Coturnix japonica: one gene and its partner. The protein of the gene in region 1 interacts with the protein of each later gene in a biochemical or structural test. Links are inferred from orthologs where the notes say so. Each region holds a gene or a part of one and is shown in the gene's direction. Other genes may lie near its edges.

Region 1 (3,500 bases):
AATGCAATGAGCACATCACACGAGCTTGGGAGGTCTCAGATTTATGAGAACTGGATATCCTGTGTGATGTCTCATATGCACTCTTTATTTCTTTCCATCAGAACTATCCTGTAGATATTATAAATGCCTGTGTGGTCCTGGCAGACCTGCTTCAGGTGGCTCTACTTGAGCAGGTGGGTTGATCAGATGGAGGGAAGGATTAGATTGGATACTGGGGAAGTTCTTCATAGAGGGCAATGAGGTCTGTCCAGCTGCCCTGGAGGTGTTCAGGGCCAGGTTGGATGGGCCCTGGGCTGGTGACAGATATGGAGGTTGGTGGCCCTGCATGTGGTGGGGATTTGGAACTCAGTGATCCCTGGGGCCCCTTCCAACCCAAGCCATTCTATGAGATGGCCTCTGGAGGTGCCTTCCAACCTAAACCATCCAGTGGTTTTGTCTCTGGTTTTGAGTGATTACTGACAACATGCGGTCTCATCACTTGTAACCAGAATTGCCTTCAAGATGAAGATGGGAGGTTTGAATACTCATTTGTCCATACCTGTTATGCAAACTGAGCTACATTAGCAAGTATTGCTTTGTTTATGCTGCATTACTCCTGCTTACAGTGAGCCTGTAAGATGCCTGAGAGGGATTGGGGACAGTGGATAATTAAGAAGGGTCTTGTAAAGGAGCTGAATAAGGTATCTTGTCTTACAGTCATGCTGCTTGTGAAAGACAAGATTGGCACTTTAGACAATTACCAGTGAAAAAGGCACAGCTCAGAGAGTTGAGAGTGGATTTGTCCCTGTACTCCTGCAATGCAGTAGGGAAGGGTACTGAAATCATGTATTTGCTGGCTATTTACTGAAACATACTTTTAATTCTAGCTGAACACTGAGTAAGCAACTCCCAGACTGAACTACGCAGCCAACGTGGCCCGATGGCATGCTGCAGCCAACCCCAGCTCAGCATCTGGATGAAATAAAGACCTTCCTCAGGAGCAGCTTTTTGTGCAATATACTCAGAGGTAAGGACAGAACACATAGAGGAACCATGAAACCTTGAATTACCAGCATCACACAGCAGTCCAAACATCTTTACCAGGGGAAGAGTTTGTATGAGAGCAGGTAGCAAGAGATCTGATGAACAAATGAGGGAAGGATTAAAAAGCAATTGATCTGTCTTCTGAAAAGAGAAGATAAGGGCAGGTTGCATTTAATACTCTTATTTTTTGGAAATGCTTAATTCTTTGACATATTAAATAAGCTGCATCACTGTTATCTTCTAGCTAGCTATTGTTTGGCCAATAGGGGAGCTCCCACGTACCCCTTCCCATATTCTGCCTCCAGACAGGCCCTTTGTGGAAAATGATTTCTTACAATGAGAGATAATTGAGTTAGAAGTCACAGGGCTCATTAAATATCCTCCGCTTTCGTACAGCGGTTGTGTTTGTGGTATTGAAAGGATTGTGGTAACAGTCATAGCCCACATCACAAAGGCTGCAGTGCCAGCACTGGTACTGATGTGCATCTCCATGGAAGCTCAGGTGGCTGCACTGGGTGGGAACTGTGAACACTTTGCAAAGAGCACCATGGAGGAGTCCAGTAGGTAAATACAGAATGAAGTTAGAAACAACTCCCTAAAACAGCCTGTAAAATACCTCCACATCAGCAAGAGTCACAGTCCCAACAGTCTTAAGGCATGCCCTAAAATGTTAATTCTTCTGCTGGCATTGTCAGTGAGACTAATCCACTTTTTGAAGCTGTTTTCTTAATTATTTTCTACTAATGTAATAATAAAAGATTCAGTTTGGAATCTTCAGGAAAATACCACATATCCCAGATACATTTGCTTGCGTCTGGGCCACGATCCCATAGAATGCTTTGCCAGAAGGACAGGAAATACAAAGAAAGATGTAAAATATGCAACCTAAGAAGCTCAGAGAAAAAAAGTATGGCAGAAAATCAGGACAGAGCTCTTTGCTGGCATTGCTATGCCTCCATTCTATACAAGGGGATAATAATAACGGGTATTATGCATAAACACGATAGGCTGAGGCTGTTCTGGCATGTCTGAATTGCGCCTGGAGTTTGTTCTGCAAACCTTTTCCATTAACATTTCTGTTGGAAAAGCGAACTTTTTAGAGATGCAGTGACCCATCTGATTTCAATTTGGCTGCTGAACGAGGGGTTACTCTTTGAATTGTGCATAGCCAAGCTATTGAGCTACACCTAGTTCTATTTCCTTGTGCAGATGATGATGGCTGCTCAAGTAGGAGCAGCATGTGAGCAAGCAGCGACCCACAGCCTTCTTTTATGTAAATTAAAGTAGCTGGAACAGTAAGGACTTCCTCTGTGAGAGGCATTGGACTCCTAACCATTCTATCATCCCTAATTCTTCCAGTCCAAAGGAAGAATATCATCCCCATGATGCAGAGACTTGTAGCATCTCTTTAGTCTATTTGGCTTGTCCTGCTGGTTTCTTAAGCCCTGCGCACAAATACAGCCACAGCTGTTTATTTCATTGAGATAAGAAGTACCCACACAGGACTGTGGTACATATCAGGGCTCTGCATTTTCTACAGTGCATCCTAGTAAAGACAAAGCTTTAGTGCTGCTTCAAACTTTGCTTAGAGAAAGCTGAGCAGGAAGGGGTGAAGTCAGTGACTGAAGTCAACAGTGACTGACCCAAACCCAGAAAAACATCAGGACATGCTGGGAAATCACAGTGGAATTGCAGAGCCTGATTCTTCTTCTTGAAAAGCCCTGTTTGTCCAGTGGGTGTGAGGCTGCCTGCTGGCTGGACGCTGCAATTCAGGGCCAGCTGAGGCATGTCATGCAAACAGAGCACCAAGACAAGGGAGGAGCCTGTATTGATAGGGTTTTATTTATTATTATTTTTTTCCTGTTTACATCCTGTCTGTACCTAATGGTTCTTCACAGAGGAACACAATGCCAGCCCTTCGCTGCAATCTCAGATGGTGTTTTCAGTGCCTCTGCTGATGATTTGTTCCCTAGCATATGGCTGATTTAGTCAACACATGGCAGTTACCTAATAAAGTATTACTGCTGCTGGTGTTCCAGCATAATATTGTTCTTAGAGATATTTTAGATATTTGTCCCACATTTTTCCACACCCAAACAGATGTGCACATTCTCCAGGCTACAGGAATACTAGCACTCACTTTGGGTCTGCTATACAGGGACATTTGTGCAACTTCTTGCTCGTGGCACTGAGAAGAGGACGGTGTGTTCCTCTGTGCCCAGTACTGTGACCATAATGGTTTTAGCTATGCTCTACCTTAGATACCAACCAGAAATAGCCTGTCACCCATGGTGCTCCTATGTAATACCCATATTTGTCCTAATAGGCAGCCTGAACTTGGACAAATCCCATCTGCCCTTGTGACATGAGATGTCTGAGCTCTTCTGGGAAGGAGCGTGGGCTTTATCTGCCCCAAATCAGCAATGTGGTGCGTCCCGAAAGGGCAGGTGGGATAGATGGAGGCTGCTGGAGGCTGC
Region 2 (4,300 bases), on another chromosome or scaffold:
GTGTCATAAGACCCAAGCTGCTCCCTCAGCTGTGTCCAGCTCTGCCAGATGTCCACAAGCAGCTTTGCCCCATTGCCAATCATCCAAGCACTGAAAAGGGTGAGGGATGATTGGCTCATGGTGGGTGGCAGCCATCCCATCCCATCCCATCCCATCCCATCCCATCCCATCCCATCCCATCCCCACATCCAGTCTCTGTGCACGCTGCCCTGTCCCCACCTGGCCCTGAACCCATCACCATGTGGCTCACATGTGTTCCCACGCTGCCTCATTGGAGAACAAACAGCAGCTTTGGCTTTGGGTTAATCTTATTTAAAGAGGGACTTTCCTCAAAGCCGCCCACAGGAGCTGCCAGCCATACAAGCATCACAGATCATATACTCATAGAGTCATTAAGGTTAGGAGCTCGCTGCTCAGGAAGGAATCCAGCTTGTGTCTGCCAACAGGACAACATCGTGATCCCAACACAGTAAAGCTGAGAGATGGACAGCAGCAGGGTGACAGAGACAGACCCACAGACACCACTGCTCCATCCTATGCTAGGTGAAAGCACTGGGGGCAGAGTGACGTAAGCAGGGGGCGAAGGAATCCTTCATCCCTCCCAACCCCGGCGCCAGCATTTCTGGGCAGCCTCCAGCAAACCTTCTCACCAAAGCCACACAAAACTCGCTGCATATTTTTTCCAACAAACCTCACAAAGAGCGTTTTTGGTGCTGACACACCAAGGCAGGAGCCAAACTGAGCTGGGGAAAGGCCATGACATTTCCAGCTCCGCTCCCTGACACGCAGCTTGAGTTCACAACCACGGGGCTGGGGCTGGGCAGGATGGGGACAGAGCAGCTCTGTGATGGAGTGGAAGCACTGGGGAGCAGCACACGTTGGGGCTGTAGGACAGGAAGGATGTCAATGTGCTATTTTACACCTGCGGGTGGAAATACAAACAGGAGCAGGTGGCTTTGTGCACTGCAGCCTCTCCTGCGGTGACAAAGGGAAATTCTCTTTGTCACCGGGATTGCTGTGACAATGCTGAGTTTGAGTTTGAGTCCTGGGGATGTTACCTGTGGGATGCTGTCTCTTGGCTGTGCAGCCAGAGGGGATCTGGTCACCCCATCCCAGCTACAGCCTGGAGCCTCGCTCTGTTCTTATAATTAACGAACCCATTTGCTCACCCATCATGAGGACCGTGCTGGTGAAGGGCTGGAGCGAGGTGTGCGGAGATGGATGGACGTGGGTGTGTGAGAGACGGACAGGCAGACAGACAGACGACAGGGAAGAGTGTGTGGGGACAGACGGACGAGAATCATTGGAGGGTGGAGGGGTCGGCTGGATTGAGACCAAACACACCCGAAAACGTTTCGTGGGTGGGCGGTGGGTGCTGGGGAGGGGTCCGGGCTTTGTGTGCCGACAGAGGAGGGTGCTGGCTCGGCTGCTCGCCGTGATGCTCCGGGGGCGGAGAGGAGGAGGAGGAGGGACTTGCAGCCCTTTTCTGGTGCTGCCGAGACGGCGGGCGGCAGAGGGAGGGCAGCCCGGGGGATGCGAGGTGGCCCCGGAGCACCATGGCCGGGTTCGTACCGCTGCTGCTGCTCCTGCTGCCGACGGTGAGTGAGGGGCTGAGGGCTAAGCCGGGGGGGGTCCGGACACAGAGGGGAATGGGCATGGACAGCACGGACTGTCCCGGTCCTGCTGGGATGGAGGGGTACCATGGGACTGTGGGGTTCTGCTCGGAGGGTCCCGGGGGTATCGGGAGTGGGAGTGTCAATTGTATGGGGATGGAGGGTCCCAGAAGGTTTGGGTGCATAGGGAGAGGAGTGGTGATGTGAGTGGTGGGGGGAACACCGTAGGGATTTCTCGCTCAGCCCCTCATGTTCCGCTGACACCGAGCTGAGCTCTGCCTTCCCTTTTCTCCATAGGAGGTTATGGGAATAAAGCAGCCCCACCTCTGTGCCCCCACCTCCTGAACCCCACACCTTCAAAGACTCCCACAGACCTTCCCTTCCTGGCTCCAAACTCACTGCCCAGCACGAAGGGCAAAGCCCCAGGGATGGGCACAGCCTCAGCCTGCGCTGGAGACAAAACTTCAGAGCAAGGGAAACCAGGGAAGAAGGAGAGTCCCAGAAAAGGGGATAAGGGGACGCACTGAGCCACCTGGGGCAGAAATGGGGCTTTTGCTGCTGGAGGATGTGTGGGGTCCCAGAGGGCTCAGTGGGCAGCAGGACGCTGTAGGGTAGGGCATTAAAGCTGCTGCTTCAGCAGGCTCATGTAGAGACTGAGGGGGAGAATGGTGTGGGTGGCTCATGGCTCCAAGTTGGGTTTGGTGTCCCCCATTTCCCACAGCTAACCCCACAGGTCTGGGCTGCCCTTAGGGTTGCACCTGCCAAGCCCATCCAGCCCCATAGAGATCTGGGGTAGTTGGAAACCTGCTGTTCCTCTGAGCCCCAAGCGGGGCAGGTCCAAATGTGCACTCGCAGCTGTGGGCTGTATCCCCAGCACCCCATTGCCACAGCTCCTTACCTGCACTGCTCAGACTAGAGCTGGGTCAGGGGAGGAGGCAGAGCCCTGTGGGACCCACACGGCTCAGACGTGACTCTCCCACTGCCCAAAGTTTGGGGAGTGCTGGGATGCGGATCTTCAGCCTTTTCTAGACAGGTTGCTCCGCCAAAATACACAGAACCCGTCTGTCAGCCTTGCGGGCCGTTCGGATCCAGGCTTGCCGCTGGGCCCGTCTCCAGCTGAAGCATTGCTGCCGTTCCCCGTTTCAGAGCAGCTCAGCTTTCCGTGCCAGTGTTTGGGTGATGATGGTGCTGAGCTGCGCACATCTTCCTCCAAGGCCACCCCCTGTAGGGCAAGGGAACACCAAAACGACTCCAAAAGCAATTAAAAGCTTTCAAAGGTGTTGCTCGCACCCTCAGCGCTTCCCCCCGTGCCCTCCCCTCTCCTCCCCCCTCCCCAACCCCAGTCCAGCTGTCAAAATGCTTTATGGTGTTAATACCTGTGGCTTTGTCAACGGGAGTTGTGTTAATAACATGCACATTTCAGCGGGCTAATGCAGACCATGTGCCCCTCTTATAAGCGTGTTAATCTTTATGGATGTTTCAGCGCTTGAGATGTAGAAAGGGAAACGTAGGCGGGGAGGTTTGGGGGGTGAGGGGTGGGGGGGTGCAGCATCTGGGGCTGGAAGGTGCGTTTTCCGCATCATTTAGAAACACGGAGGGTAGGACAACCCTACGGGGAGGGGACCGTGGAGTGTTGGACAACTAGGGGAGGTCGGGGGGGGGGGGTCCGGTTTGGCACAGAGGAAACAGCGTAACCGGGTTCTGTCCCTGTGGGTTTTGCTTCGCAGCTGCCTCAGGCGCGGGCGGCGTGGGAGAGCTGGCTGCTGCGGCCCCAGCTGCACCGCTCCGGCCTTCCCAACACTATTTATAGCCAAGTTCAGATGCTCCCCTCTTCCCCAAACCCTCCCGAGCAGGAGAACATGCTGCAGGTGCTGGGGAAAAGGAAGCAGCATGGAGAGCTCCAGCCCCACTCTGCCACGCGCATCGCTGCTGCCTGGAGCCGTCCCTGTTGCAAAGAGAGCCCTTTGCTCCCCCCCACTCCTATTTCCAAGGGGGTGTTTCCATTTGGGGGGTGTTGGGAGGGTCCCTCCGTGCCAAGCATCCCACCCGTGTAGCTGGGGCTGGGTGCCAACACGGGCTGGCAAAGCAGCGCAGAAGGAGAACGCACGCTTCCAAGAGAAGGGTAATTGGAGCACTTTGTCATTCAGATGCCTATAATTGGCGCTCCATTGTCTCTCTGGCCGGGCCGGCTGATGCCGGTTGATGCGCCTATGAGTTCATAACACCGCATTGTGCAGAGCGGCGGCCAAAGGGGCTGACGAGGCGGCCAGATGAACGGGGACGTGGAGCTCCTCCGCCTCCTGGAGAGTTTCTTCCCCTCCAAAATCAGCCTTAACTTGGTGGCAAAGGGACGGTTCCCCCCCCCGAAAGGAGCCCATCCCCGACAGCAGCCTTCCCATCGAGTACAGTGGACCCGAGTGTGAGCACACACTGACCCTGGATGGTCACAGCTGCTGCTGTTGCTGTCCCTTCGGGTGGCCCCAGTTCTGAGCACTGCTCTGCCTCCTCACTGCCTCATTCAGCAGCCCAACAGCACCATCTGTCCCGACACCATCTGCCCCATCCTCTTTCCTTACAAACTCATCCCAGCTGCCACACCAGGAACTTTGGGACCCTCCAGACTGTAAGCAGGAGGAGCAAAGCCAGCCCCACACATCACCCCTGGCCAAGGAGTGCACTGGGGAATG

The links. The genes of interacting proteins can lie anywhere in the genome.
Region 2: the proteins of NGF (region 1) and NGFR form a complex in vitro, tested with the Homo sapiens proteins (2 studies listed by BioGRID and IntAct, with this or other methods). The link is inferred for Coturnix japonica from reciprocal best matches to the Homo sapiens genes NGF and NGFR.

What each region holds. Positions count from the first base shown.
Region 1 is NC_029541.1:3,979,246-3,982,745, reverse strand, and holds part of NGF (beta-nerve growth factor), read left to right. Parts: intron 1-101; 5' UTR 102-173; intron 174-866; 5' UTR 867-1,006; intron 1,007-3,349; 5' UTR 3,350-3,388; coding exon 3,389-3,500. UniProt on the Homo sapiens protein: Nerve growth factor is important for the development and maintenance of the sympathetic and sensory nervous systems.
Region 2 is NC_029542.1:2,822,223-2,826,522, reverse strand, and holds the start of NGFR (tumor necrosis factor receptor superfamily member 16), read left to right. Parts: upstream 1-1,500; 5' UTR 1,501-1,556; coding exon 1,557-1,598; exon of another isoform or gene 1,599-2,835; intron 2,836-4,300. UniProt on the Homo sapiens protein: Low affinity receptor which can bind to NGF, BDNF, NTF3, and NTF4. Forms a heterodimeric receptor with SORCS2 that binds the precursor forms of NGF, BDNF and NTF3 with high affinity, and has much lower affinity for mature NGF and BDNF.